Linked DNA regions of Bombyx mori. The protein of the gene in region 1 binds, or shares a complex with, the protein of each later gene. Links are inferred from orthologs where the notes say so. Each region holds a gene or a part of one and is shown in the gene's direction. Other genes may lie near its edges.

Region 1 (10,755 bases):
TAATTGTTTGTTCTGCATTTATTTATTTAAAAAAAATATTTAAAAATATACCTACAAGTTAGCCCCTCTAATGCAATTTTATAATATTTTTTCATCCTTAATGACTCGTAAATATTCATTTTCGATTGTTCTTATATAAAACACGTTTGTTCTCTTTCGAAATTACTCGTTTTTTGTTTAATTTACTATTTTTATTAGTTGAATAAATGTATGCAAAATATGTGTACTGCGCATGCGTCAACTATAATGCCTAAACTTTCTACGCGGTTTTAATCGTGAAAAAAAAACAAATATAAATCCTGACGGAGCAATTAATTGGTATACAGTTTAATTAAAAAAATTAAAAAATAAATAAATGAAATAATGTGCATTGGCGTTAAGTTAGACCAAATACATTTTTTCCATCCTCTTACCTATCGTATTAAAATGTTATTTTACTAATGTTAGGAATATAATTTCGACTGTGTAAAAAAACTTATTTTATTGTATACCTATATTATCTCTTGAAAGATAAATAATGAACATATTTACTTATTTGTTTATATTACCTGTGTGAACTCCCTTCTGAACATCTTTTTTATACTTTCATAATGATAAGTAGGAGGATGGAAAAAATGTATTTGGTCTAACTTAACGCCAATGCACATTATTTAATTTTTTATTTTTTTTTTTAATTAAACTGTATACCAATTAATTGCTCCTTCAGGATTTATATTTGTTTTTTTTCACGATTAAAACCGCGTAAAAAGTTTAGGCATTATAGTTGACGCATGCGCAGTACACATATTTTGCATACATTTATTCAACTAATAAAAATAGTAAATTAAACAAAAAACGAGTAATTTCGAAAGAGAACAAACGTGTTTTATATAAGAACAATCGAAAATGAATATTTACGAGTCATTAAGGATGAAAAAATATTAAAAATTGCATTAGAGGGGCTAACTTGTAGGTATATTTTTAAATATATTTTTTAAATAAATAAATGCAGAACAAACAATTATTAACAGTGAACAATCATGAACAAATGATGAACAAACGAATTAATAGAAAATAAGTATAAAATAGGAAAAAAAAATTTTTTTGAGGGGTTAACTTCATTCACCTTATACTCTAAGGGTGAACGAATGGGGTTGGCCGGTTAAAGCTTTTCTCAGATGTCGCCGGCGTAGCTTGTTCCCTTGTAACAGATAGCCGCCATTTTGTGTGTTTTGTGTTCGTGATATTTCGGCATTTTGTGACTTTGATACGGTTCTTTTTACTTTCTAAGTAGTGCTAAACAGTTTTACAACATGTATTCCAACTGGATAGTTAAAGAATTAAAAAATGAGTTGAGAAAACGTGGTGCATCTTTACGAGGAAAAAAAGTGGATTTTGTCGAAAGTTACAATGTTGATGTTTTATTTTAACTTAAAAAACTTCTCTCAAACTGTTTCCGGTAGCTATTGTAATAATAATATTAAATTGTGTACCTTAGGAACTTTATTCCTTGTAGCACGTGCAAAAAGAATTGCTCATATTACACACATTACCTACCAACTAATGTATTATTTTACTTTTTTCAGATTAGAGCTAGGTATATGACCAAAATTTTAATTTTGAAACAAAATGAAAAAATTGCTCTAGCAAAATATGCTAATATATATGATTTGCTAGTGGAGCCATGTGGCATTTTCATTAGACAAGAGCGCCCATATCTTGCTGCATCTCCTGATGGTGTGTTGGGCGAAGAAACTATAATTGAAGTGAAATGTCCTTATGCTAGCAGAAAACATGAAATAAATATAACAACGGTGCCTTACTTAGAACAATGTAACGGGATATTGTCTCTAAAAAAAACCTGCCATATTATTATCCAATCCAAGGGCAGTTATACTGCTCAGGCAAAACATACTGCAACTTGGTCATTTACACCTACAAGGACATCAAAGTGATTTATGTTGAAAAAGACAATAATTTTATAAATAATATGTTAAATAAATTATTTTATAAATAATATAGTTAAATTAATTAATCTTTTATGAAAATATTTTCAAAGAAGCATTGTATGAAAAATATCTGTATTTAGTCCGGTCAATTTAGACCAAAAAATGAGAGTGAAGTTACATAAAGTCCCAACAAGCTGAATTTCAGTGAAATTGTTCAAAATATAATTATAAACAATGTCTAGAAGTTCCCCATCATTCCCCTGTAAGGAATTTTTTTTATTCAAGGTCAAAGGTCAAAAAAATAAGTTTTTCGCGATTTTCAGCAAAACGGTAAGTTTTATCATAAAAGTACTTCAGACAAAAATTGTAGACCATAAAATTATCTATAAAAAATGTATCAATACTTTTTATCTTACGAGCCACCGTTTCTGAGATATAACGATTCAAAAAGTTATAAAAGTTGTTATCGCCATAATATGCATGAGTACGCCACGTATATACATCTAGAGTTGTTATATTTTATATGATATATATAATAGCTATATATAATAAGTCCTTAAAAAAACTACCTGTTTAGATAAGCATCGATATGCATGTTTCGTTAAAAATACTAAAAATAAAAAACAAGTTCAATTAGCTTGTCTTCCTCCAACCTCAGTTGCTGCTCACCAACATCTTTTTCGAGTATATTACCAAGTTCAAGTGTGGCTTGGTTATCAGCTAGACCCTACAGACTGGGGTTGGAAGTTGGTCAACAATATATTAGAGCCAGTTCAAACTTTACTTCCACCTGCGCCGGAAAAACTGAAGTGAAAACGGAAGAAATGAAGATGAAGAAGAAGCAGGAGAAGAAGAATAAGAAGAAGATCAAGAAGAAGAACAAGAATTTGAAACTTACGAATAAGACGAATAAACTTCAACACTTTTTTTAATTTACATCGCTTTTATCTTTCCCAATCTGAAAATTTCCGTTATTATGCAATAGTTTTACATTAAACAGGATCACAACTGACCCGTGGAGTAAGCCTACTGGGGAAACCACGTTAAAAAAACGCGCTAAGTACACTACCTCATAGGTGTCGTGGAAACGTGTGCTATGTGAACCCTCTGACTAGCTAATTTTTGATCTATCTTTAACTGAACACCTGGGATTTGTGATTTACCTTTTAAAAAAGATGGCATATTTATACTAATTCCTTTAGGGGCAAACAGATCCTGTACATTAAAACCTCTGTCTGCGATAATACTATCTCCAGAATCACAAATCTGGAGCAGCTTACTTCGTTCTAGTATCTGTCGATCACTTGCAGAACCAGCGTAGCCGTTTAAAACATATGATAATAATCCCCCTGGTGAAGCTCCTACCAAAAATTTCACGGTATTTTTATGTTTATAACAACTAAATGACGCTATTTGAGCATCAGGTTGACTAGGCTTCTGTATGCCTATTTCAGTCCCATATATAATCACCCTTGTGGAGGGATAATGTGTTCTAAAACAATTAGGCATATAATAATTTAATAAGCTGCGGCTAGGGCAAATGTCAATTAGGCTCTAGATATCACTGACAAAATTTATCCATGTTACAACAATATTAGACACTTCAGTTTTACTTAATTCAAAATCTGTTGTGTTTCTTCTAAGCTTAATTAGTAACATTAAAAATTGATCTTCTCTTGATATGCCGACCACTCTACTCCAGCGAGTTTTTATAGTCAGATTCCACAAAGTGTTTACGACATAACCTCGAATTTTTTGTGGGAGTACTTTTTTCGTGTCAAATGGCCTTTAACCGCAGTCTTCCAATTTTCTTGTCCTTCGAGAATTGATGTACTCCAATTTCTGAGGATATTGGCACAAAACAACGCGTCATTGTGCTTAAAATAATTTTTAATCAAAAGTTCCAATACAAATATTGAATGTTATGGGAACAATGCACACCAGCGCCACTTTGACAGTAGCCAACCCCATTTATTTCGCTCATCTAAAAGAAGCAGTTGATCGGAGTGTTACACTAATTTAAGTGTGAATTATTTTTTGTTGCGTTATAATAAAAAAATAATACAATTTCAATTATCTAATGTCTTAGATCTACTCATTTTGGTACAAATCAAATGGTTTTTGTTGAAAAGATTAATTATTCGATATTTCGATCTCAGATCGCGTTCCTAATGTCAATTGTCAAATATTGGTCTCTACCATAGATTATACACTTATGTCTACTATCTATGCTATCGTCATGTCGAATTGCATTTGGTTAATTTTGTGAAATTTACTACAATTTGCTATCTAAAAACTTACAGTTTTTTAACAATGTCAAATTTATTTAAATTGAAACTAAGTGCATTAGGTCATCCAAATCCAGAGTTCTTTAACTGCGAAGGTTTTGTTTAATTTGATGACCCGTTCGTTAAAACTCGTGAGTGAAGATTGTAAATAACAAGTCTCTGCAATTTTTAGATGAGAAGGAGTACAGAAGTGTGGTGCTGTGGTTAGAAGATCAAAAAATAAGGCATTACAAAATTGAGGACCGAGAAGGGTTGAGAAATATTGATTCCGATTTCTGGAAGGAGGCATACAATACGTATCAGAAAGATTTGGTGAGTCCAGCGGCAGAAGGGACGCTGAATGAACAACTCAATTGGCTATTGTCGTATGCGGTGCGGTTGGAATACGCGGATAATGGTAAACAGAAAATTTTAATTAAATATTTCATGTCAAATTATTTCTTTACTTGCTACCGTATTTTTCTTTTTTAATACTTAGACATTTAAACAAGCTCATTGCCCAATTGATATTAAGTCGTTACGGGAGCATACAGAGATAACTTGAATGCTGCATGTTTGAGACATGAAGTCTAAGACTCCATTAAAACATAGCAATTATTCCACCCTTCAGACTAGAACACAAGGCTCTCCTCTGCGTCATAAATAGGCAGGGTGGTGGTGTTTACCCATGTGGGTTTACAAAATGCTCTATGATCAGTAATCATCAAAATTTATAAGAATGTCTAATTTTATTTTACAGTTGACAAATATAAAAATGCTAAAGTTGAAGAGAAAAAGAAAGCTCCCAATGTCGTGTCTTCTAATCCATTAGACAATCTGGACTGTAAGTACATCCATAATAAAATTTAGAAAAACATTTTAATTTCTAACTATCAAAAACTAATTTTGTAATTACAATTAAATAATTAAACTTGTTTAAATAATTGCCAACAAGAATTGAATTTGTTACTAATGGTTCTAAAATTTTATTAATATGTTAGCTTAGATTATCTTGATTCTTCTTTATTTCTAATGCTTTTAATATTCCAAACTTCAACTTCAATTCTTTAATAAAATTCCGTTGAGGCCCTGATCTCTATACTCATCACGTTTCTTTGGTGATCTTTGGTAATATTCCAAATCTATTTTCAGTCTCAAGTCAAGCATTCAAAGCAGGTGTCAACAGAGTCTGTACAGTAGCGAGCATTGGTCCTCATCCAGATCCTAAAATAAGACTTGCTGCCTTAGCCAAAGTACTGAAAACTTCTCCGCATCCGGAACCCCTACAAACTGAAGTCAATTTAGTTAATCAACCCTCAGATGTGTTAAAGTTACTGTTTGTTCAGGATCTTAGAAATTTACAAACAAAAATTAATGAAGCTTTAGTTGCTGTCCAAACTGTTACTGCTGACCCTCGAACTGATACCAAACTCGGTCGAGTAGGAAGATAAAATGTTCTTCACTAAAATTTTGTAAAATTATCTTAACATTTTCTTCACGAAATCACAATGGCGAAGAACTGAAGCTATTGTTTTTATACTATGTTATGTAAAACCATATTAAAATGATAATAATTGATCTGCTGAGTACTAAAAATAAACTGTGCATTAAATTTCGTTTTTTCATTTAGATTTTTATTTTTATTTGGGTTATACCAATTTAACTTTAGTCTTATTCACTTTTTTATTGTTAAGATGTATGTAATGTAAACCTGAGGCTTGTGGTCTAAGTCTTATTGGTGGTCGTTCTACACTTCAAACCAGAATGACCAGAATGACTTATTATTATATACTAGTTATTATGGGTAGTGTTGGTATGTTGTTGGCATGTGCAGGCTCACAAGGCTCCCCTGTACCACCCATAAAATTGGTTTAGTTTTATTTGTTGGTGTTGTAAGCAGACCAGCAAACATCTAGTAGCTGCTTAATACTACATAGATTAGTAAGTTACAGCAATAACAAGATAACTGAAAAAGTTTTAAATTGAAATATGTACTCTTTTTATCTTATGTTTCTGTAGAATGTTCAGAATGTTAATTACATAATAATTCGTAAGTTTTATAATCAAGGATGTGTAAAAATAAATTTGATAAACATCAAAATTAAATATTCTTGGTAGTGAAGGAATAACATAGTGTAATAAAAATCAAATCTGCAAAATTATAATTTGCATTACTGGTGGGAGGAGCTAGAACAGACTGCCCAAGACCAATACAAATGGAAAATTTTGATTCGAGCCCTACACCCCAGCAGAGGGTAATAGGAAAGCATGATGATGATGACTGGTGGTAGGATATTTTGTGAGTCAGTGCAGTTAAGTTTCAGTACCCTAACTACTTCTGCAATGAAGCAGTGATGCTTTTTGGTTTGAATGGCGGGGCAGCCATTGTAACTATACTGAGACCTTAGAGGTTATATCTCAAGGTGGGTGGCGCATTTACGTTGTAGATGTCTATGGGCTCCAGTAACCACCTAACACCAGATGGGCTGAGAGTTCAGCCAGTGATCTTTATAAAAAAAATTCAATTTATTGTATTAAGGGAAATGGAAGGTCATACACATTGAGGCAACAATATTTATTATTGGAAAATTATCTTTGTTGCATATTTCTAACATATAATCAAGCAGAATTACCTATGTAATAAAGCTGAACTAATATTAGATGTCTGTTCTGAACCAATAAGATTCAAGCTTGAACTAAAAGGCTCTTTCCACATAAATTTTGTATTGGAGCTATCAAAGTACAATATGCATTAGAGGGAAATAGATAATTACGTCAGACTAGCACGGATGTGTATTATGGCCTGTGCATTACAAACAACAATTACATGCTCAAATTCAGATTTCCTAAGTCTAAGTATGCAAAATTATTATTATTACACAATAACAGTGAAACAGTCAATCATCAACAGTAATTTACTAATCTACTATTACACTAATATAAATTTATAGTTCTCATTGTATTACTTTATGAACTGAAACTGAAAGTTTCAGATATTTTAGACATCAATGCATTCCGCCTCCCTTTTCTAGCATCTGTGCAAATCTATTTGTTATTAATAGTGAGGTATCAATGAATCTTTCCACACAGTTTGTGATACATGTTTCGGTCCGAGAGTCCAGCTTAGCTCCAGGTTTTTCAATACACTTGTCCCAACAGAAACTATTGAATTCGTGTATCTGAAAAATACAACAAAATCATCTAAAGTTAATTGAAACGTCTTTGTTCTACTTGGACATATCTCTAACTTAACAGTAATGCCTATTAATTTAACATGTTTATTAATATAAAAATGATTTAAAGAAACAAAATATTTTTGGTATTTATTAGATATTCAGCGATTCCTATTGCAATAAAACAATATTCTTTATATTACCTGTGCTTGGAACTGTGCCTTTTGTTTTTCTTGTATTAAGAAATCCTGAAGTTCGGAATCTGCACCTTTTGGACTAGGAAAATCAATGTCGCTCATTTTTGTCTTTTGCTGAGTATTGTATTTTTATATCTGAAATATTCCACCAAACTTGACCAAACTAGAAGTTTTGAGGTTATTCTTGTTTAATTCATCCATTGGACAGGCAAAGGAAACACAGACCATTATCGACAAAATTTTTGTTATTACAGTAGAAGTCATGTATAATTCATAAAACGGAATGAAATAAAAAATTTATATTCCCACTTTTGCACTATCAATTCGATGCTTTTATATAATTCATTCTTTCATCAATTCAATTTCACTTATATATGAGTCGTCTATTATCAAAGGTGGCAATCTGTGCATTTGGACAAAAAAAATTTATTGATATTTCAATACAGATTTATTTGAATATAATCGTCTCCTTCAAAGAATACGGTTCAAAACCTGCATTAAATAAAGGTTAATAGTTAACCTGTTATTTATCTAAGATGTCGTTCCGAAGAGTTTTGTGACTGCCAATGGAATACAAAGTCAATAATTCGTTTTTCTGATTTACCAATCATTGTCCAAAAGTCAGATTGCCGCCTGTGGCTTGTAATATATGAGTCGACTATGACTCATATATTACAAGCCACAGGATTTAAAACTAGCCATAGACACCCAATTCGAGTGCATTTAAATGTTTGTACAGCCCTAATATTTTGCGCGAGCTGCTGAGATTCTTGCTGGGCTGATACTATGGACTAAATTTTATATCGAACTCTTCGATGAATACGGTGACCTGTAGTTTAGCTGTTGCTAGCGTTACAACTAGTAGCACCCGTTCTGTAGTCGTCGTGGCCTAAAGGATAAGACATCCGGTGCATTCGTGTGTAGCGATGCACCGGTGTTCGAATCCCGCAGGCGGGTACCAATTTTTCTAATGAAATACGTACTCAACAAATGTTCACGATTGACTTCCACGGTGAAGGAATAACATCGTGTGATAAAAATTAAACCTGCAAAATTATAATTTGCGTAATCACTGGTGGTAGGACCTCTTGGGAGTCTGCACGGGTAGGTACCACCACCCCGCCTATTTCCGCCGTGAAGCAGTAATGCGTTTCGGTTCGAAGGGTGGGGTAGCCGTTGTAACTATACTGAGACCTTAGAACTTATATCTCAAGGTGGGTGGCGCATTTACGTTGTAGATGTCTATGGGCTCCAGTAACCACTTAACACCAGGTGGGCTGTGAGCTCGTCCACCCATCGAAGCAATAAAAAATAAAAAAAAAACCGACTGCATTAAAAGTGGTTCAAGTGGATCAAACAAGTCTGTCTAAGAATCCAACGGTGGCTTGTTACTGCGTGAGAGTAAGGGGCATAGTTAGCGGCGGCCACAGTAAGTGGGTTATCACATTATATCGCTGTCGTAAATTAACGTCTGTAATATTTTGGAAAAATTCGAGATGTACATTTCTCTGAGGAATTTTGTATGTGTTCCGTCATGGTGTTCCGACACCTACATTGAAGTTTAATGGGGTTTATGTGGGTGCGTGCCACGTGAGCTAACACCATAGTCGCACATGTGATGTTTGAATTTATTCAAATTCTGTAAAAGGTCACTTTACCACAAATGAACTCCGAGTAACTCCACTTGCAGATGATAGGGTAAAGCTTGATGAGCGAGGCTTCACGGATTAACTTTACAACTAAGACGGAAGGTCATGATGGAAGGCGACATTCCTGCGTTCGAGCTTCCTCTTTGAAAAAGCAGAGCTGTATTTTGGTAGTGACAACTTCGAAGCGCTACTTGTAAAATTAACTCCTAGGGTTCCGGCTACGGTATAAAGAAGTTGTTTCTACCGGGATAGTACAGCTGTGTTTTCGGCAAAGCATTATTATTTCTTCGGCGGCGACAGGGGAATGTGGTAGCAGCAGGAAGAGAGCAGTCTTGCCTCCGGCTGTGATTAAGCGGTGAGAGACACGAGTTCCCTCGGAGATGAGTGATTCGAAAAAGTGTCGAAAAATAAACAAGACTGTCCGGGATGTGCATGTCGCATAAAGTATATTGGAACCTCTGGGTCTGCGGAGGGACTACGTTTTTCTCTGTATTTTGAACCATATGTTCCATGGGGAGTTCTCTGAGAAATTGTTTGAGACGATTCTATGATCTCGTTTTTACCATCGCACCGCCCGCCACCGGAGTAGAGTTCATCCATACTACCTGGAGCCACTGCGTTCGTCCACAGTACGTTTCCAGAGATCATTTTTGCCACGTACCGTACGATTTTAGAATGAACTCCCCTCCGCGGTGTTCCCTGAGTGCTATGACATGTTCTTCTTCAAACGACGCTTATGGACAGTACTTAGCGGTAGGCAGCGGCTTTGCTCTGCCCCTGGCATTGCTACTGAAGTCGGTGGGCGACGGCAACCACTCACATTAGGAGGGCCGTATGCTCGTCTGCCTACAGGGGCAATAAAAAAAATACTATTACAGTGTTCCTGTGTAAAAATCTAGTTCTCTGTAGCACTTAGAAAATGTGTTCCGTGAGTCAGTACATCTGTTAAACGTACGAGTGTTTGGAGAAGAACTCGATTAGTGACCAGGGCAGATGGATATTTTTTCTACGGGCTGTGAATATTGAGTATTGGGCCTACCCACTCGCTAGTATATCGTTAGTATATAAGACAATCTGTTTATTCAATTATTGAAACCCTTTATTGAGAATTATGAGGTATAATCGTTCATAAATTTTAAAATCTTTCCAATGATTAACTCTCTAATATTCGCTTCTGAAAATATGCATTGTGCTGCGTCTAAAGATAATTTTGCTACTTGAATCCGTGTAAGTGCAAATGATTCAGCACATAGCCTGTATTCTTGAGACAGAGATGTCGCAAATACTCCTTTGTCATCAGTCTAAAACAAACAAACAACGATATAAATAGACAAATAAAATCAACACATAAACATTAGGTAGGTATGTACACATCCCATTAAAATATTATTTTTCTTACACAAAGTACAACAGACAATCCAGCTTCAATAAGTTCTTTGAAATGATGCGACTCGTAATCGGGCGTTATTTTTGTATTCACGTTGCTTGTCAGACATACTTCTGGAAAATTAGCGACTTCTGTTAAGAACAGTAAAATGGTA
Region 2 (11,355 bases), on another chromosome or scaffold:
CGTGAATAAAGCGCTAAATGCATCGTGCATCGTGCATGGCCTTGGCGGGACGTACAGCAAGATGGATCGTGAATAAGGCGCTTAATAAAGTATTAAATTTATTATAATATTATTGAAGGTAGTTTTCCAATTGCAGCACTAGAGCGCATTATGCGGCATAATGCACAACGTTGAATGTTCTAAGTTCCAACTACAGCAGCGCACTCTGCTGATGCATTAAAGTCGTCGTGGCCTAAAGGATAAGACGTCCGGTGCATTCGTATCGAGCGATGCACTGGTGTTCGAATCTCGCTGGCGGGTACTAATTTTTCTAATGAAATACGTACTCAACAAATGTTCACGATTGACTTCCACGGTGAAGGAATAACATCGTGCAATAAAAATCAAACCCGCAAAATTATAATTTGCGTAATTACTGGTGGTAGGACCTCTTGTGAGTCCGCACGGGTAGGTACCACCGTCCCGCCTATTTCTGCCGTGAAGCAGTAATGCGTTTCGGTTTGAAGGGTGGGGCAGCCGTTTTGACTATACTGAGACCTTAGAACTATATCTCAAGGTGCGTGGCGCATTTACGTTGTAGATGTCTATGGGCTCCAGTAACCATTTAAAGAGCTCGAAGTGTTCAGATTTTCGAAGTTGTGCACTATGATAATATTGCAGATACAACAGAACAGATAGTAAAAAAAACAACGAAATAAGAGTACCATTGTTTTTATTAGTAAAATTTAAGCATTGGTGCTAGCACCTCGGATTTATTAAATATATCTCTGTTATAAATTTAAAGCTTTTTCAATCAAGACCATTCCTTCGTTTAGGAAACATTTTTGTTTCAACTTTCTCCACCATTTGAGCAACATTAGCCAACTGCTGAGATGAATCATTGGCGGCCGATCCGCAAGTTTCGGCTAGTTGCTGAATTCCATGCGATACCTGGATAAACATTTACAATATTATATTTTTATCATACATATTTTTATTAAACACTAAACTGAAACAGTTGAATTTAAAAAAAGTAAAAATTAGGTTGGGTATTCGGGTTTAAATAAGTCTGAATACAATTTATTATGACGGTTTTGGTATTCTTATCAATAAAATAAAAAGTTCGAGGCAAAGTTGAGAATCGCGACTACTGCGAATATCCGGCAAGAAACTTAATGGGCTGTGTCTGTCAGTTAATTTTCACGGCGGACCCTTTGTCGCATTCGTCGGAATCGACGAAAACGGTCAACAGTTCTTGGAATGCCTAAAAGCAGTTATAGTGGATGTGTTTCATATGAAGAAGGTTCAATTGAGTTCGAAAACCGTATATATTCATGAATCATGCTGACTCACTCTCGGCGTTGTTAGATGTTACTAGTAGAAGCAATTAGAACACAGGTTACGGTACTTGTCAAAATCGACAAGAAGCCACTTTGGGGTCCCACAGGCAGCTCTTGACAAACCTCCTGTTGTGATGAGACCTCAAGTTTGCCTATCCGCCCTAGCTAAGTGTCTAAACAAACCCCGTCCTTGACTCCATAATACACTACAAAAGTATAGTGTAGGAAACGGTGTAGGAAGAGAGAGAGAATGGATCTGCTATTGTCTATGAGTAACAGTCCCACTGATAACCATTAAGTAGCCCATTTGGTTGTCTGCCTTCAAAAAGGAGTAAAAAAGCAAAAATGTGCAATAAAAATGATATAAAAATTTTATAAAAGTATTTACTGCATCAGCTTCCGCCTTTACTTCTGCAGCTGCAGCGTGCATCTTGTCTACAGTGGGCTGCATTTGAGCAGCTTTTTGTATGGCCTCCGACTCCAGAACTGGTGTTGCCTATTTCATAGAAATTCAAACAACCAATGTATTTAATCTTTTAAAATTAACCATATCCCTAGAAAATACTGTGCTAGTCATTTCTTCTAGTACATATTATATACACTGGTGGACCTAAATAAGAAACTCAATGTCCATCACATGGCTTCTGTTCTCAAATACCCAGCTAGGGTAATAATGTTACCAACATGCATTTATGTATGTACCTAATATATATTGACCTGTTATTTGATCATAAACTTGATTTAGATTCAATTTTTAACCAAGCCTTACAATACAGTAGAAAATTTTATAAATTCGGATGCAACTATCTAAACAGCCATGTAAAAAAATTCATAAGAGAATACAGGTTAATTATCATACCAATTTTACTGAACTTCACAACAGAAAATATAATTAAAATACACCGGCTAGTCTGAGCTTGTTTTTAAACAGCACTAGCAACCAGTTTATAAGTATATTGTGACAGAATTGTAACAAACTCATCTACTGACCTGTTTACATTGCTGCATACAGCGACAGTGATGTCTGATCACTGGTTCAGCTGCAAGTACTTCTTGTTTATGTAAATCATTCTTCTGCAACTGTAACCAACATTCTGATAAGATCAACATTATACAATTTTTTTGTAGATTTTGGTAATTATATAGGCAAGACAGATAAGCTTGCAGTTCAAAGACAGTAATCACTAATCAATAGTGAGCCTAATTAAGGCAATCTTCAAAGGCAACAAAAAAATTATTATATATTATTTTTCATTTGATGAAAATGCTGTTAAAGTCATGTGTACTTTGAGGCATTAGGTCAAAGTCTTTGTTGAGTTAAATTTATATAATATTTATTAATTTACAACTTTGAATATCATGAACAAGATCATATGTTGCCTCACTTGTCCAATGAGATATATTTAAAAAAAAAAATATTTTAATTTTTTGTTTAAGACCAGCCAGTTATTTTTCTACTTTCTTTTTTGGTCTGATAGAGAATGTTACCTTGTCTTTATGTTACTTTGTGACTTATTTGTCACACATTGCACAACAGATGCTGACTATAAGTCACTACTTTAATGATAAGTCTGAATATATCAGATGAAATTTAAATTCTATAAACTAGTTGTATGGAAAGAGAAAATGGATTTAAATTTGAGTTAAACATACTTGGTAAAATTTTACAAAAGGTATATAGGGTTTTAATTCAGAATTAATTATGCATTGAAAGAAATTCATGGGACGTAAGGATTATCAATGGTTATTAACGGCACTTACATTTTCAACGAAATTCGGATCACTATAGTTGTTCAACTCTGAGGCCATTTGCATAGCTTCATGAAGCTTTTCGTGTCCTGCCGTTGCATTATTGATGGCTTGTGCAGCGCTTAAAAGATTCGCAGTAACAGAGTCACCTTGCTGACCATCTATAGATATTTCTGGAGACAAACCTAATTTAGCTTCTAGTTGTTCAATTCTACTTTGTAAAACTGCTATAGGATCCATTGTTAATGTTTTTGCTACGTAAAAGAAAATACAAAACGTGTAGGTTAAAATTTGTTACAAAAATATCTATTACCGAAAAGAAATGAATATCGAAATTTCGAAGTATTTGTAGGTACCAATTGTTTTTCAAAAATTGTTTTCGAACTGTCAATTAGTGCCATATGTCAAATTACTCAAAATAACCACTGAAGTAGGTCTATGAAAATAACTTATGTCTTCCTGTAAAAAAAAAGTCATCCTGTGAATCTCCATTGAAGTAAGTTGCCTCAGTGAATTTGGCCCCCTTTTTTTGGTTTTCGATTTTATTTTTATTTTTAATTGTTTGTTCGTCTTTTGTTTATTTATAATTAATTAAACAAATGATCACCGTTAAGTGGGCCCCCTTTACTAGATATCTTTATTTTTATCACTCAGATTAATTAATTTTGATCAATTATCATTTGTTCGACGACTATTGGTGATTGTTCGATCATAAAAACAATTAAATTCCCAATTATTTATTATTTTATATCTAGCAAACCATCACCTCACGCCACCTTTTTTTGATTTTCAGATTTTTTTTATTTTTAATTGTTCGTCATTTGTTCGTTAATGTTCGAATGTAAAAATTGTCGTCTTTTCATCATCATCATCTCAGTCTGTCCATTGTCCACTGCTGAACATAGGCCTCTCCAAGTGATCTCCAGTGCGGCCGGTCCGTTGCCACTTGCATCCAACGTGACCCAGCGGTTCTTACCAGGTCGTCGGTCCATCTCGTAGGTGGCCGTCCCAAACTGCGCTTGCCAGTACGTGGTCTCCATGATCTTTCTGCCCCATCGGCCGTTCGATCTTCGCGCTATGTGGCCTGCCCACTGCCACTTCAGCGTGCTAATCATACGGGCTATGTCAGCAACTTGGTTCTTCTACGGATCTCCTCATTTCTGATTCGGTCTCGTAGAGAAATACCAAGCATAGCCCCCCCATAGCTCGCTGTGACTGAGCTTCCTAAAAAGATCTCTTGTGAAGCACCACGTCTCAGAACCGTAAGTCATCACTGGTAGCACACATTGGTTGTATACCTTGATCTTCAGGCACTGAGGGATTTTGGACGAGAACACATTTTTTAATTTACCGAACGCTGCCCAGCCGAGTTGGATCCGCCTACTGACCTCTCTTGCGAAGTTGGACTTACCTAATCGGATTGCCTGTCCCAGGTATATAAGTATATATTCGTCTACAACTTCAAGAGTAATGTTCTCAACAGTTACTGGGGTGAGCTTAAATTGTTACATTCGAACATTAACGAACTAATTATGAACAAATAATTAAAAATAAAAAAATCTGAAAATCAAAAAAAGGTGGCGTGAGGTCATGGTTTGCTTATTAGATATATAATAATTAATAATTAGGAATTTAATTGTTTTTATGATCGAATAATCACCAATAATTGTCGAACAAACAATAATTGATGCAAATTAACTAATCTGAGCGATAAAAATTAACATATCTAGTAAGGGGGGCCCACTTAAGGGTCATCACTTGTTTAATTAATTTTATATAAATAAAAGACGAACAAACATTTTTTACATTCGAACATTAACGAACAAACGACGGACAACGAAATAAAAAAAAAATCCGATAACAAAGAAAAAGGGGCCAAATTCATTGAGCCAAGATTCATAAAGTCTTTTAACGTAGAATTACTTACCATAGATTAGACACTTAATCTTGCTCAGTGACAGTTCTCGTATATATTAAGTGTATAATCTATGGACAGTGATTCATAATTCTTCAAGGCAGAGAGAGAGTTGAAGAATTTATGTAGTGATAAAATTGTATTATCAATGAAGGTAGTGAAGTAAGAGTATTTGTACGTAAACACATATATTAGTAAAATTTTGTTACATTATTAAAAACTATAATGGATGAAGAATTAGGCGGTATTTCCGAAGAATATTATGATATACCTCCTGTTAAATATGAATGTGAGTATACAGTATCTAAATTATAGTTTTTCCTATAAATTTATGTGATTGAATTGCAATTTTACTGTGATGATTGGTGCTTATAAATATAAGGTAAATGTAAATTTTGCAGATTTGGACCATACTGCTGATGTTCAGTAAGTGGTTAATTCATGTGTTATATTTTAGTTTTAATTTAAAGCTACTGATGTAGTATTGAGATAGTATTGTGAATCAATCTAATTAAACTTCAGACATAATTGATTACATATCTATATATAAAAAAAAACAAATTAATGCAAAATAATAGTATTTTTTGACCTCAGTCCATGTAGGTACTTAAAATTTAATTACAATGTGAAATGTAATGATGTGTAATTTTTTATATGTCTATGTATCTGTAAAACATCTATATAGGTATATCTTCAATCTGGAATGAGGAACTGGTCTCTGCCATTAGACGACAAGGTGGCTTTTTTGTGTAAATTGGGAATTCTCATTCACACTACACTGTGTGAGACTTTCAGTAACTAATCATTGATGACGCTTTGGATCTATTCTTCTGGCTAGTATAATTTTTTCCAATTTAAAACATGACCCAACACATGTTCGCAAATAACTTATGTTATGTAGGGATAGAATCATGCGAAATAAACAAGGGAGAAAATTTATAAATCAGGGATTGCTGTTGACGAGGCGTATATACAGGGTGTCCCATATAAGTGGTCACTGAAGCCCATAGCCCGACACCAAGAACGTAAATGCCGTTGCCTGCCTTGTACATGAGATCTAAATCTCGTTTTCATAGTACAACGGCTCTCCTATCCTTCAAACCGAAATGCATTAATGCTGTATGGTAGAAATAGGCAGGGCGATGGTACATTTTTTTTCTTTCAAGCGACACCCCTCGGTCTCTTACCCGACGACCGCCCACCACCCGGAGTCAAAACCCGGGCAGACTAGGGGGATTCCCGCAGTCAACAATACAACCAGATCTGCGGCTCCACCTTTAGACGCCCGACCGACGGGTCGTCGAGGTGATAGTCGACGACTCTACGTCGGCCATCTCGGTACGGCAGCCCGTCTGGCCACTCCAGGCGGTGCCTCTGGTGTCTCGGAATACCCCGCTGGACCAGAATCTGCCTGCCAGTTCGGAAAGCGATACACCACTAACCGGTTCCTCTTACATAGCAGTTCCGTAGAACTGTTTTCATGTTCAGCGTGCTAGAGTACAAAAAGCGCGCCGCGCGGCCTCACCCCCTTAGGTCGCCCCGAAACGTTCACCCGGGGGAGGTCACCTCCTAGAGAGATCTGAGCCGGACGAAGGCGGTGGTACTTACCCGTTCGTGCTCACAAGACGCCATACCACCAGTAATTACGTAGATTTTAATTGTTTTGGCTCGTCCACCCATCTTAGCGATGAGAAAAAATCCCAACAACTTCGGATTTATTTTAGGACATCGCTATAGTGCTACCAACTTAATCGAGTTTGTAGAACTTTCCAAAATAATTGAAATCCACAACACACACACACACACACACGAATATCCCTCCGGCGCCGGTCTCCGACTATGTCGGTACTTCATGCAGCTTCTTTTGTCCTTGCAATAAATGTGGTATTTAATAACATTCGCCGTAATAAGTTTGATATTTGATTTTGGTTTTTTGAGTTTTTGAGCCTCATGAACCTAATGTGCTTGTAATTTTTTTCGTATTTGTTATTGTCTATCTCTTTCTGACGCGTTTAACTGAATGAATGGTCTAATAGTACTGTTGTTGTATAAATTCAGGGCTGTTATCGAACAGTTGAAACAATTATTAAATTTGTTTTTATATGAAACTAATAATTAAGATTTCGATACTTTTTTTACATTCTTAACGTGATTTATACTGTGGCAGCGTTTCGGGTTGATATATCGATTGTAGGACACGCTGTATAGCCATTACGAGTAAGTGACCCCAACGCGCTCTTTTTTTCTTAAGCCTAAGCTGATGGCCTTGGGAGGCCATCTCAATGTAACCCTAACAAGTAGATGAGCTCACGGGGCTCAAACCTGCAGTCGTTACTAACACTAACCCTAGCAAGAGCAGTGCTTCGCAGAACCTACCACTGGATCGGAAACGCGACTCACTGAGAAGACCCGGCGAGAAACTCAGTGGGCTGTGTCTGGGGTTAATTTACTCGCCGAGCCCTTCGTCGCAAAGAACGGGCTCGAAGAGAACGATGACCGGTGCTTGGGGTACCTAAAAGCACCGTTAGTGGATCAGGAGGATCCGAAATGACGTGTTTTGGATGACTGTTTACCATTTGGTCCACAGGATCGGGAATGTAGTTACCGGCGGCCACGATGAGAGGGTTCTCGTGTCGTGCCGCTTTTTCGAAATGGCGCACTGTTGCCTATTTTAGATACATACTGACGAACTCTAGGTCTATGTCATCGTGGAGGCCCACTTTCTGATGAACCGCGGGGCTCCGGCGGCTATCCTGCAAACACGGGATTGTATGATTTGAAGGGGTTTCAAATTAGTACGGGCCGCGTGAGCGAACACTACACTTGCATAGGTCATGACCGGATGTATGCAAGTTTTGTAGAGTGTCACCTTACTACGGAGGGACAATTTACTTCGCTTGCAAATCTTCCGATAGACAATGCGGTCTTTTCTGTCGCAACGGAACTATGCGAGTTTCGGTATTTATTTGATACGAAATAAAGCCTTTTCACCATTATTTTTTACATTTTCATAAAAGTTTAAATTCATATTATCTTTAGTTTATTCCATTACCTGAATTAAATGAGAATTATTTTTTATTATTACAACATCATATTGTAATGCCACGTGATTTATAATTTAAATATAATATAGTCAAGGAGTGTTGTAATATTTTCGTTCCATTAATATTTAAAAAAAAAATACCTCACTTTTAGGATAGGTCTAGGCTAAGCTGAGTTATGTAGAACGAGTCTAGTTAAGCTAATTCATTATTTAATCCTTTTAGTGCTGAGTTTATTTTCACAAATTATTCAGAAATTGCTTGAGGATTTTCGAAAAAAACTTGTTATAAAACTTTAACTAAATAAAATATTTAAAAATCAATGCTAATTGTACACCAAAATAATAATAATATTTTTTTTTTTATTGCTTAGATGGGACGGACGGTGGTAGGACCTCTTGTGAGTCCGCGCGGGTAGGTATCACCGTCCTGCCTATTTCTGCCGTGAAGCAATAATGCGTTTCGGTCTGAAGCTTGGGCTTCGGGCAGTCGTTGTAACTATACTGAGATCTTAGAACTTATATCTCAAGGTGGGTGGCGCATTTACGTTGTAGATGTCTATGGGCTCCAGCAACCGCTTAACACCAGGTGGGCTGTGAGCTCGTCCGTCCATCTAAGCAATAAAAAAATAATAATAATAATAATAACTTTTATTACATTTCTAGATTACACGCATGGGGCGACAGTCTTAAAGAAGCCTTCGAGCAGTGCGGGATGGCGATGTTCGGTTACATGACCGAGCTTGAGTACGTCCAGATCAAGGATGTTCACACCATCGAAGCGAGCGCTGACGATCTCATGGGATTACTTTACCACTTCCTCGACGAACTGTTGTTTTTATTCTCCTACGAACCATTTTTGATATGCAAGAAGTTAGTCATAACGGAGTTTAACACGCAAGAGTTCAAGATAGTGTGTAGGTGTTACGGCGAGGAGTTCGTAATTGGCAAACATCCCCAAGGCACAGAAGTCAAAGCTATAACTTACTCGGCCATGCAGATCATTGACGATCCAAAGGACAATAAGTACGAAGTGTTTGTTATCATTGACATATAATTTTTTTTATTTTTTTTTTGTATTCAAGAAATATACGTTTGTATTTTTTAAAGTTTAATTTTTTTTCCAAAGCACTGAAATCGTCGTAAGGTAAAGGTGTAAGACACTTACTCGTATCAAGCGATACGACTTTGCCGCTAGTCAGATCTCGCTGGCAATTAACATTTTCCCTGATGAAATTTGCTAGGGCATCTTCTGGGCCCGCACGGGTTGGTACCGCCATCCTGCCTATTTCTGCCGCGAAGCAGTTAATGCGTTTCGGTTTGAGGGGTAAGGCGACCATATTATATTACTGTAAAAATTGAGTCATTAGAGCTCCGGTCTCAAAGTGGGTGGCGACATTTACGTCTTAGCAATAAAAAATAGTCTTGAAGAAACCCTTATATCAAGGATCCGAAGGATATGAAGAAATGCAGTACAAATGTAGGGAATATGTGAAACAAGGAACTTCAATACACTTTTGATATTATCTCGATTCGGTTCCAATTCAGCAGGCAGGTAGTAGTAGGTAGTATTAGGTAGGAGCAGGTAGTAATAATTTTGCGGAACTACTTACCGAACCCGTGTTCTTGAGCTGCAGCACTGTACCGATTATTGTGACGAAACATAAGGAAGTCCTATTTCCAGCAGTGGGTGGCTTTTCATTGGTGATGATAATTAATGATGATGATGACATAGGCTTTTTTTCCTACCTATTCTAGTAACCTCGAGGGGTTATTCTAGATTCGCCGAGCTAGTAGGTGAGCTCACGGGGCTCAAACCTGACGACGTTGCTAATACGAACCTTAGCAAGAGCCGTGCTTTGCAGAATCTACCACCGGATCGGAAACGCGACCCACTGAGAAGATCCGGTGAGAAACTCAGTGAGCTGTGTCTGTGGGTTCATTTACTCGCCGAGCGGCTACTATGACCGGTGCTTGAGGTACCTAAACGCACCGTTAGTGGATCGGGAGGATCCGAAATCACGTGTTTTGGGCGAAGTAGACTGTTTACCATTTGGTCTGCAGGATCGGCTATGTAGTTCCCGGCGGCCGCGATGAGAGGATTCTCGTGTCGTGCCGCTTTATCGAAGTGGCGCATTGATGCCGACTATAGATACTAACTCATGTATTCTAGGTCCAGGTCGTCATGCAAGTCGATGTTCCTGACGAACCACGGGGCTCCGACGGCTATCCTGCAAAAACGTGATTGACTAATTTGAAGGGGTTTTAAGTGAGTGCGGGCCGCGTGAGCGAACACTACACTTGTATAGGTCATGATGGGGCGTATGCAACTTTTGTAGTGTCACCTTATTTCCAAGGAACAATTTACTTCGCTTGCAAATCATCGGATAGAGACATAGGTACAGAAACATAATCAAAACAAATTTCTACAAATTCCTTATTACGTTTTATCACCGACATTCACGTAGAGAAACAAAATCATGATGAAAATAAATGTAGAATAGAACAAATAGGTTTTCAAATAAAGGTTATATTCAAATTATAGCAAATAACTATTAGTTAATCATAAGATAATAAAAAAAAAGAGATGTATGTTATGGTTGGAAAAAGTTCATTTGCTAGGTATCTTTTTTGTGTTTGTATGACGTAATGAACTAAGAAAAATAAATAAACGAACCATAAAATGTGAATAAATATTATTCATTAGTAAAAAAATAATATCACTATTTTATTATTTATTAAAATAATATTGCATATTCTTTAGCATAGGAAGAAGTTTCAGTTTCCTAAGTGCTCGGGAAATGCCTGAAATATCACTGCAAAAAGATCTCGGTAGGCAAAGGCTTAGCTCTGCCCCTGCATTGCTGACGTCTATTTGCGACGGTAACCACTCACCATCAGGATGGCCGTATGCTCACCTGCCTACAAGGTTATAAAAAATGACGGTTTTTTGTGTCGTTTTTTCCTAGTTACACTTTTCCGTCTAGTCCGCATAAAAAACGGATGATACGGCTTCACACGGTTGTGTCCAGGATATTGTGGTGAAAGTACCTAGATTATACCTATTTGTTTACAAATGTTAGTTTTAGAGATTTTAGTACTCAGCAATGTGTACTAAAATAATGTGTGTAAATAATATCGAGGTGAGTTAGTGACACGGCAGTTAGATATAGGTTAGGTGCCTCGTATGGGTGTGAACTTGTAAATTGCGACTCCTAAAATATTAATTAATATTGTATCAAGAATAAACATGAAAATTTTTCGTTTTTTCCATGAATATAATATGCGGGTAACATTCGAATTTCCCGGAAAATGTCTATTTGGTAATGTAA

The links. Proteins that work in one complex are often made in the same cells at the same time.
Region 2: RNA transcription, translation and transport factor protein (region 1) and archease share a complex: the UniProt entries of both Homo sapiens proteins name them as parts of the tRNA-splicing ligase complex. The link is inferred for Bombyx mori from reciprocal best matches to the Homo sapiens genes RTRAF and ZBTB8OS.

What each region holds. Positions count from the first base shown.
Region 1 is NC_085119.1:4,406,253-4,417,007, forward strand, and holds RNA transcription, translation and transport factor protein, read left to right. Parts: upstream 1-4,090; 5' UTR 4,091-4,241; coding exon 4,242-4,311; intron 4,312-4,388; coding exon 4,389-4,613; intron 4,614-4,955; coding exon 4,956-5,039; intron 5,040-5,347; coding exon 5,348-5,646; 3' UTR 5,647-5,807; downstream 5,808-10,755. Other genes in the region: translocase of inner mitochondrial membrane 8 homolog b, read right to left, coding at 7,201-7,374, 7,572-7,667; adenosine deaminase-like protein, read right to left, coding at 10,324-10,515, 10,614-10,714. UniProt on the Homo sapiens protein: RNA-binding protein involved in modulation of mRNA transcription by Polymerase II. Component of the tRNA-splicing ligase complex and is required for tRNA ligation.
Region 2 is NC_085121.1:13,346,725-13,358,079, forward strand, and holds archease, read left to right. Parts: upstream 1-5,084; 5' UTR 5,085-5,208; coding exon 5,209-5,272; intron 5,273-5,384; coding exon 5,385-5,409; intron 5,410-8,689; coding exon 8,690-9,080; 3' UTR 9,081-9,129; downstream 9,130-11,355. Other genes in the region: uncharacterized protein LOC101743665, read right to left, coding at 790-930, 1,708-1,815, 2,310-2,399, 3,081-3,308. UniProt on the Homo sapiens protein: Component of the tRNA-splicing ligase complex required to facilitate the enzymatic turnover of catalytic subunit RTCB. Together with DDX1, acts by facilitating the guanylylation of RTCB, a key intermediate step in tRNA ligation.